Linked DNA regions of Canis lupus familiaris. The protein of the gene in region 1 interacts with the protein of each later gene in a biochemical or structural test. Links are inferred from orthologs where the notes say so. Each region holds a gene or a part of one and is shown on either strand. Other genes may lie near its edges.

Region 1 (4,346 bases):
TAGAGACTGTTCAGTCTCTGAGAAAGTAAGAGTCCAGGAAGAGAGGCAGAAAGAAACATGTTAAGTACAGCTGCTTCTTTTCTTCCACAAGTTCACTGCACATTGTTGTTGAGGATGGAGGGATCCACCTGGAGTGGGGGGAAGAGAAACAAAAGAAACGATTATTTTAGTTTGGGTAAGAACTAAAACAACCACCCAGTTTAGCAGTCCTTCCCATTCAACTTCCTGTAAGAGGCTTAGAGGACAATTTGTAAAATGGCAATGATCACCTCTGTGTAAGTCGGTGGTGGCATGAACTTGAACTCAGGAGCATACATAAAAATAGGGCTGTCTTGGGAACCATCTGTGTCATCTAGTAGAGGAGTAGTGGGGCTCTCCAATCGGTGATCTTCAGGAATGATATCCATATAGCAAGGAGGAGCTAGAGAAAACATAGGCATAAGAAGTTTGGCCAAGAAATGCCTGACCGTCACAATTTCACAAACCCAAGCAGGTCAAAAAGGAAGAAAAAACATTAGGTCTGGCTCACCTTCTGGGGTATCGGGAATATTGAGATCTATCCAACTCATTTCAGAGCTGGTTCGACTGGCCATGCTCGATGTCCGACTGCTCAGACCTGATCTGCTACCGATTACCAGGGGCAGATCAAGGATGACCTTCTTGGAGCCAGGAACACTAACATAGATCTAGAAAGGAAAAATGACAGTTAGTTAGACTAGAGGTTTGGAGAAATGACTATTTTGACAGATGAACAATTTCTTGGACTCCATTCACTCACCAATAAGGAGTATTCAACTCGAAGGATGTTGCAGCCCAGGATAGAAGGCCTGATCTTTTGCACCCGAAGGCTCTTGCCACGCCACGATGCACAGGTTCCTGAAATGATGTGATTGCCTCTGACAGATGACAACTTCTGTGTCAGCACTTTGGTTTGACCATTGGCAAGGTAAGTGTGGCGTGCTACTATGGCAGCTTTGGGAACCATGATGCGCGAACATGTATTTTCAAAGTCAGCATGGATGGAAATTTCATCACCTAACAATGATAAAGACAAAAACTTATTAGCTGACGCTTAATACAATTAAGGACTTCTACCCCTATAGCCTGCCCTCACTCCCAAACCCACAGTTCCTGTTTTATCAGACTACCTTTTTAATTAAGTTTTTACCTTCACAAAATCCTTTTCTGTCAATTCGGGCAGAGACAGACACTTGTCCATCAGGAATAAACATGCAGGAAACTTTCTTCTCCTTTTTAGCAGACACAGGAGCCTGTGTTAAATAGGGGTAAAAAGACATTTTGAGACTTTCTAGAGATCCTTCTCTTTTTTCTTTCTACTCCTTACCTAGAATAGGCAACTTTCCCTCCCACCTTGGTAATCCATTTAGGACTGGATCCCCTGAGGTACATCAGTCTAATGCCTAAGACACTTGACTTACGACTTACCATCCCCGAAACCCAAGAAAACATAATTTTTAAATGAACCTCACCATTAAATCAGGAGTGTTGACATCCACTAAATCCATCACTTCAAAGAATTTCTTTGTCTCTTGAGTTGGCTGGCTGGGGCGATCAAGAAAAGCCTTCACCCAGTAGTCTACACACCCATATTTTCCTTTGAAAGATGTTCCCAAAGGCCTGTGTCAAGAAAAAAGAAGCAATCTAAAACTGTTCTCCAAGAACAGGTGATCAAAGGTGGCGAATTTTAGAGATAAGAAAGTCCAAAGATGCATTTAGTAGACACCTACCCCTGAGGAAGCTCAAAGCCGAACTTGTACTCGTATTTGTTTCCAGGTCTCATGATCACCATCTCATTCTCACCTGAGAAGAAAGAAGAAAGAATAGCCCATCAGGTTTCTTGTTTCACTTCAAATGCATCTGTGTGATAAGGAATTCCTGGGCAGCATGCAAGTCTATTGCAGGTCCCCTATTTTCACCCCCTTCTGTTCTTGAGAGATCCTGATGCATTTCGTTGGGCAAAAAGTTTCAAAGCCTTGCAATGATGAAAGGCTCAACCAGGGCAGTGAAGCTACTACCCTCTCAAACCGGAAACGAGCGAAGAATATGCAACTTATGCACACAGAAAACCTTTAAATAGTTAAGGCAGCATACCTCAGGATCACCTTCAGAACAGAACACTGTAAGAAACTGTACAAATCACCCCCCCCCTTTTTTTAGGAGTCTGCAAGTTAAAACTAAAAAAGGAAACAACATACAAGTCAAGCTACTCAACCTTAGCAGCTTGAAATATTCAGCATAAGCTGCAAGCATTCGTTTCAACTCTATTCTCAAATCAGCTTTCACCCTCCCGACAAACAACGGGGCCACTCACCTGTTGGCTGGTCTTCCAGGAGAAGCGTGTCTTCGAAGCGCAGGTATTCAGAGGTCTGTTTGCACTGTTGGGATCCCTGCATCCACAGGACTTTGGCCACTCCGCAAGCCAGGATCCTGACAGCTTTAACTCGAGTCACTTCGCACACCTCCACGACCACCCGGCCGGCCACTTTCTCCCCGCTGCCATACACCTTTTCAGGGTCGTTAAAGACCACCTCAAAAGACTTGATTTTCTTGAACATCACCATGATTGGCTGGGCTGCCTTGACAGTTATAAACGGGGGGGAGAGAAAAAACAAAACTCCAAATCCAAAAATGCTCTGCAAAAAAATTATTTCACTCTTCAACTCTCCGCTAAGATTTCAAAAAGATTTTGGAAAAAAATGTAAGCTGTGGGTGATGCCGAAGGATCCCCGGGGGAAAAAAAAAAAAAATCAGCTTTCTGTTCTTTTCTCCGACAGCTGGAGGAGCGCCCCGACTCTAGGAGAGCCCGAACGGCCCACCCCGCCAGAGGAGACGGAAGGAGAGTTGCGGGGAGCAGCCGGAAACTGCTTTATATAGTCGCCCGGGCTCGCCCGGCCACGCGAGCGCTAGCCCTGAGGCTCGTGCTGCCCTCGTGCACAGCCCTCCCATTGGCTGCCCGCCCCTTGTTTACCAGGAGCCCAACCAATCAGCGAGGCCGCAGCGGCGCGTGGACACGGTGTGCTCCTGGCGGGGAAAATGGTTGTTGTGCACGGCAGCCTCGCCGGGAGGAGGGAGCGGAGGGGCTGCGGGGCCGCCTCCCTCCGCCCGAGGACGCCCAGGGGAAGCCCGGAGGGAGCGGGCCCTCGCGGACCCTAGCATTTATCACGGGGGGTGGCCGTCGGGGGGCGGGTGCAGATGCTTCTGGGGTGGGAGCAGCGTTTGAAGCGAAAAGAAAATGTGCTTATGTGGGAATTTCGTGCCTAACCTCAGCCAGTGCAATAAATTTAGAGGCGACCGTTTATTTCCGGCTCACAAGTCGCAAGTCCGGTGAAAAATAATCCCTTAACTCCAAGAATACTTCAGAATTGGGGCAGAGGCCAGGGAGCTTTGGTGTGACTGTTGAGGAAGAGCCCCTTTGTCTTTCTCTTGCCCCCGGGTCTCTATCCAAACCCCTAAATACCGTGACAGAAAGGGGAACTTGTCACAAATTGTAAAGCTCTTCTCCGTCGTGGGTGGGCAGCGGTCCGGGGCGCTGCTCGGCTTTCGCGCTCCCTTTCCGGCGCCCCCGAACCTGGAAGCCCCTGTACCCTCTCTCTCCGTTCGCTCTGTTCTCCCTGGAACGGAATCAGGGCGTGTTCACATCCTGTTCCTTTCCCCCTCATCTCTTCAGTTTCTACCTGCAAAGTTGGGGGAACACTTTGTTTCTATTCCCCCAGTTACCAATATATTACTCTTTTAGTAAGGTATGTACTTGAAACAAGATGCTTCCCTCGTTTCACTTTCCTCCTCAGCTGCTTGCACTCTTCCTTGTCTTCATCCCCTCTGCAACTCACCAAATCAGAGGCGCATCTCTAAATCCGTAGCCCACACTCCTCACAGCCGAGTTAAAAGTTCTCTTGTTTATATGATCAAAGTGTCAGTAAAGAGATGGCTGCATTCCTGTTTGAAGGAAGAGTTTCCGTATCTTTTAAAAGTGTTTTTCTAAGCCCTTTATTTTAGAAATCCCAGTGAGGAAAGAAGACAAAAGGATCACTGTATTCAAGCTAAAAGAGACCCTGACTGATCACTCTTTATTGTCATTTGTCAGATTCCCCCCTCCCCCCAACCTGGCATGAGATGCCTTAAGGACCTGACTCCTGAGAAATTACTCATAAATGCAAAAACAAACAAACTTGCAGAGATAAAGGCACACATGGACGCACCCTTTTTTTTTTATTTTTATTTTTATTTTTTTTTGATTCTTGGGCCTCTCCTGTCTGTGTTGAAGTATCAGGAGATTTTTACCTCATTTTTTTTTTGTCCTGGCAAGAGGAAGACAGTGTTTCCAA
Region 2 (3,804 bases), on another chromosome or scaffold:
GAGCCACTGAAGCGGTGGGGTGCGGGCAGTGCCGAGCAAAGAGACCCCACCCCAGCTCACCTGGGCAATGAGGATGCCAACAACGATGCCCAGCTGGTGCAGGGTGCCCAGGGCCCCGCGAAGGGCCGTAGGGGACACCTCCCCCACGTACATGGGCACGAAGCCTGTGGTCAAGCCACAGTACACACCAATGATGAAGCGGCCCAGGATCAGCATCTCAAAGGACTTGGCCAGTTTCGAGAAGCCCATGAGCACAGAGGACACGAAGGCCAGCAGGTTCATCATCAGCATGGAGTTCCGCCTGGGGGTGGGGGTCACAGGTCAGGTGGGTGCCTGGATCTCCCCAGATTCCCAGGGGCTAGGTCACAGGCAACACCCCGAACGGGCAGGGAAGTCTCTCCCCCCCTCCCTGGCCAGGGCCAGGACCCCTTCTGCTCACCGGCCAAAGCGGTTCACAAAAAGGCCCACAGAGAAGGAGCCGATCATGCCTCCTACAGAGAAGATGGCTACAGAGAGGGACCACAGCGTGGTGAGCGTGGTGGGGGAGATGCTCTCCTGATAGCGGTGGATCCATGTCTGGTTGTAGAACTCCTCAATCACCTACAGGGGGAGAAGCAGCCCGCTGAGCGAGGTGTCGGGCCCCCCACTCACTGCATGTCCTTGAGCCAAGCCCCTGCCTGTTGTGGGCCTCAGTTTCCCCAGGTGAGAAACCAGGGGCTGGGCTCCATCTCGAGGAGTGGTGCGGGCTGTCATGCTTCCCCAGGTGTGGCTCCCGGGGCCCTGTGGTGTCACATGTCCCACAGAACTTGCTGGGGAGGCCAGCAAATGGCCAACGGTGGACGGTCAGGCCCAGGGCAGGAAGATGTTCAGGAGAAAGTGCTTCCCCCCACTTGGCCCCTTTCTCTTCAAGATGCCTGAGGCCCTAGGCTCCTGCCACCTGGGCACTCTCCCCAACCCCCCCTGCTGGGGAGGAAATACAGCTGGCCAGCTGGCTCCAGATGCTTGGGGACAAAGGGAAAGGCAGGCTCGCTGACTTCACCCTCACCCTCGGCCCGGTGTGACCACCTTGCGCTCCAGCCGGGCTCCCCAGCCTCTCCTAACTGCTCCCTGAGCGCCAGGCCCAGCTGCTCGTGGGGGTTCACCCTGAAGGACCCATGGCCTCCTCCCCCCTGCCAGGTGCCCAGCTGGGAGGGATGGGGAAGGCTAAGGACAAGGAAGCAGTTCCAGGAACTGGAAGCACCTGCCCCAGGCGCCTGCCCACCAGCCCTGCCCCACACAAGGGGGGCTGGGCCTGATCCACCGGTTCTGCCCGAGAACACTCACCCTACTCTCAGGCGACACCGACACACACCCAGGGCCACAGGACTGGACTGACCCACCCAGCTGCCCGCAGCGCTGGGCATGGGCCCAACATGCCCAGAAACAGCTTCCTGTGTACACGCACCGTCATACACATACTCGTGCTCAGTCTGAATGCTCTGGCTCCCGCCGGTCACAAACCTGACTGGCCCTCTTCCCTTCAACCACTGACAGCTCCACCTCGGCTCCTTGTGCCCCCAGCCCACCGCCAGCACCCCTTACATGACCTCCTCCACTGCTTCTGGAACCCCCAATCGTCCCAAGCTCCAGGGGTCTGACGGAAGGCGGTGGGTAGCCACAATTGCCAAGGGGGAAACCGAGGCCCTCAGTCCCAGAAATGCTCACGGTTGTGATGGGTCCTTGGCCTCTGTTTCCTGCCCTGCTGCCACGGTCTATCCCAGGTCTGCAGACACCCGACAGGAGGCCAGGCTCCAGGGGTTAGGATGGGTTGACATGGGTGTGGGGAGGGGAGGGAGGTGGCCCTAATTATCTACTTATGGGTCCCGAGAAGCCAGACAGCGCAGGGGTGAGGAACCTAGACAACTCTGCCACTGCGACTGAGGGCAAATCATGTCATCTGGGACGGCGACAGTAGCAGGATGCATGTCATAGTGCTGTAAGGGATTAATGAGACAGAGAGTGCTTGCACAGTGCCCAGCATCGTCACCGAGTCAAGGGACGGTTCTGGAACCAACCCAAGGGCAGTGCAGACCACTGACCAAGCCCTACCAACCCTGCAGCCCCTAATTAAAAATCAAGGCTTGGGCCAGAGATCAGCCCCCATGTCCCCACCTGCCCCCATCTCTACCCCAGCTCTAGGGCTCGTTTCCACACTATCCATGGTTACTTGGCCCAGAGCGCCCAACCGGCCACCTTACCATGCTGAAACCTTTTGAGATCCAGCTCAAAGGGTCCCAGAAGTCTGAGGGCAGGGAGCCTACTGGATTCACACGGGGGCCTATCCTGATGAGTGGATGGAAGGGTCAATGAGGAGAGGGCCTTACTTAGGCTCTCCTCCTGGGAGCCCCTGCTTCCGCTGGGGGCAGAAAGGCAGATTTTAACAAAACAAAACAAAGTGCTTCTGTTCTTCAAGGGATAGAACCAACCTCAGAGAAGGACTGGTTGGGAGAAGTAATGCTCCATTTATCAGGATCTGCAGAGAACAAGCTGTCCTGGACAAGGGGACGGTCCAGATAAATGACACTCGCCCCACTGAGGACCCATCATCGGGGTGGAAATCTCTCTCCCTTCTGCCGATCTCACTCTGCTGCCCTTGGGGCTCTCTACAGGGGCAGGGAGAGGTATTTGTCCCAGATAGTCTTTAATTTTTGCCTCCTGTAGTTCTCAGGGTCTCCCTGTGCGCCCCCGTGGTTCAGATGCTATCTCAAGAGAACTCTCCACGTATCATTCTGATTTTTGCCAAGTCGTCTGCTAATGGAATTGCCTGAACTGCGTGCAAAGAGTCAACAAGTGCTGAGTAAGGCCTTACTACCTAAGTGAGCTACAACATGTGAGGCTGAGCTTTCAGGTCTTTAACCCTCTTCTTGAGGCTGGCTGGAGATGTTGAGGCAGCCAACAAGAGGACCACATTCCCGGGGGCTCTCCAGCCCCGGTTAAGGGTGCGCTGGTGGTAACAAGTCAGAAGGACCAAGCCTTGTCCAGAGCTAGCTCAGGGGCTCATGAGCAACCCTGCTACTCAGACCACTTTATGGGGGTGGGTGAGGGTAGGGAGCCAGCCCCTTTTGCCTTCCCTGTGGCCTCAGGCTCGTCCTTTCCACCCCGCAGCAGCCCTTCCTGGCCAGGCTGAGGCTGTGCTGGGGCTTCCTGCCTTTTGATCTGACACCTGACATTTCTGGGAAGAAGCTAGGCTTGGTTTTCCATTTCTGCTGCTGGTGTGGGAACATTGTGTCCTCTCGCTGCCGGGGGTCTATGCCCCACATGGGGCTGAGCTGGCCCTTGGCCCGGGAAAGGCGGCAAGTCCCTGAACAATCAGAAGAATCCTCCATGGGGAGGAGTTCTGGGGTCACCTTCCACCACTGGCTGACCTCCCCATCCATCCCAGCCGCAGCTGAGTGCCCTTACCTGAAAAAGAGCCTATTCCCTCAAAAGGAGCCCACAGACCCAGTCCCACCACAGGGTCACCGGCAGCCTCCATGAGCCTGGCTTGTGCTCCCGAAAGCTCGCTCCTCACCTGCTCCTCACAAGCCTGGGAGACACGCTCGCTCCTGCCGCCACCCCCACGCAGTCAATCACCAGGTCCCGCCAATTCTCCCTCTGGATCTGTCCTAGTCTCTACCCACGCAACACCTGCCCTAGGCCTCACCTGGATTCTGCCCCTGACGCCTCCCATCTGCTTCCCAGGACTCAATTACTCCCCATCAGGGCACCAAAGGCCTGCACGCACAGGCGCCAGGCTTGGCCATCCACCTGCCATCTCTGCTCCCT

Evidence for each region.
Region 2: the proteins of TXNIP (region 1) and SLC2A1 form a complex in vitro, tested with the Homo sapiens proteins (2 studies listed by BioGRID). The link is inferred for Canis lupus familiaris from reciprocal best matches to the Homo sapiens genes TXNIP and SLC2A1.

Annotation. Positions count from the first base shown.
Region 1 is NC_049238.1:59,433,936-59,438,281, forward strand, and holds the start of TXNIP (thioredoxin-interacting protein), read right to left. Parts: upstream 2,872-4,346; 5' UTR 2,583-2,871; coding exon 2,333-2,582; intron 1,822-2,332; coding exon 1,749-1,821; intron 1,639-1,748; coding exon 1,491-1,638; intron 1,272-1,490; coding exon 1,169-1,271; intron 1,036-1,168; coding exon 779-1,035; intron 687-778; coding exon 530-686; intron 422-529; coding exon 270-421; intron 129-269; coding exon 93-128; 3' UTR 1-92. UniProt on the Homo sapiens protein: May act as an oxidative stress mediator by inhibiting thioredoxin activity or by limiting its bioavailability.
Region 2 is NC_049236.1:553,013-556,816, reverse strand, and holds part of SLC2A1 (solute carrier family 2, facilitated glucose transporter member 1), read right to left. Parts: intron 601-3,804; coding exon 440-600; intron 302-439; coding exon 61-301; intron 1-60. UniProt on the Homo sapiens protein: Facilitative glucose transporter, which is responsible for constitutive or basal glucose uptake. Has a very broad substrate specificity; can transport a wide range of aldoses including both pentoses and hexoses.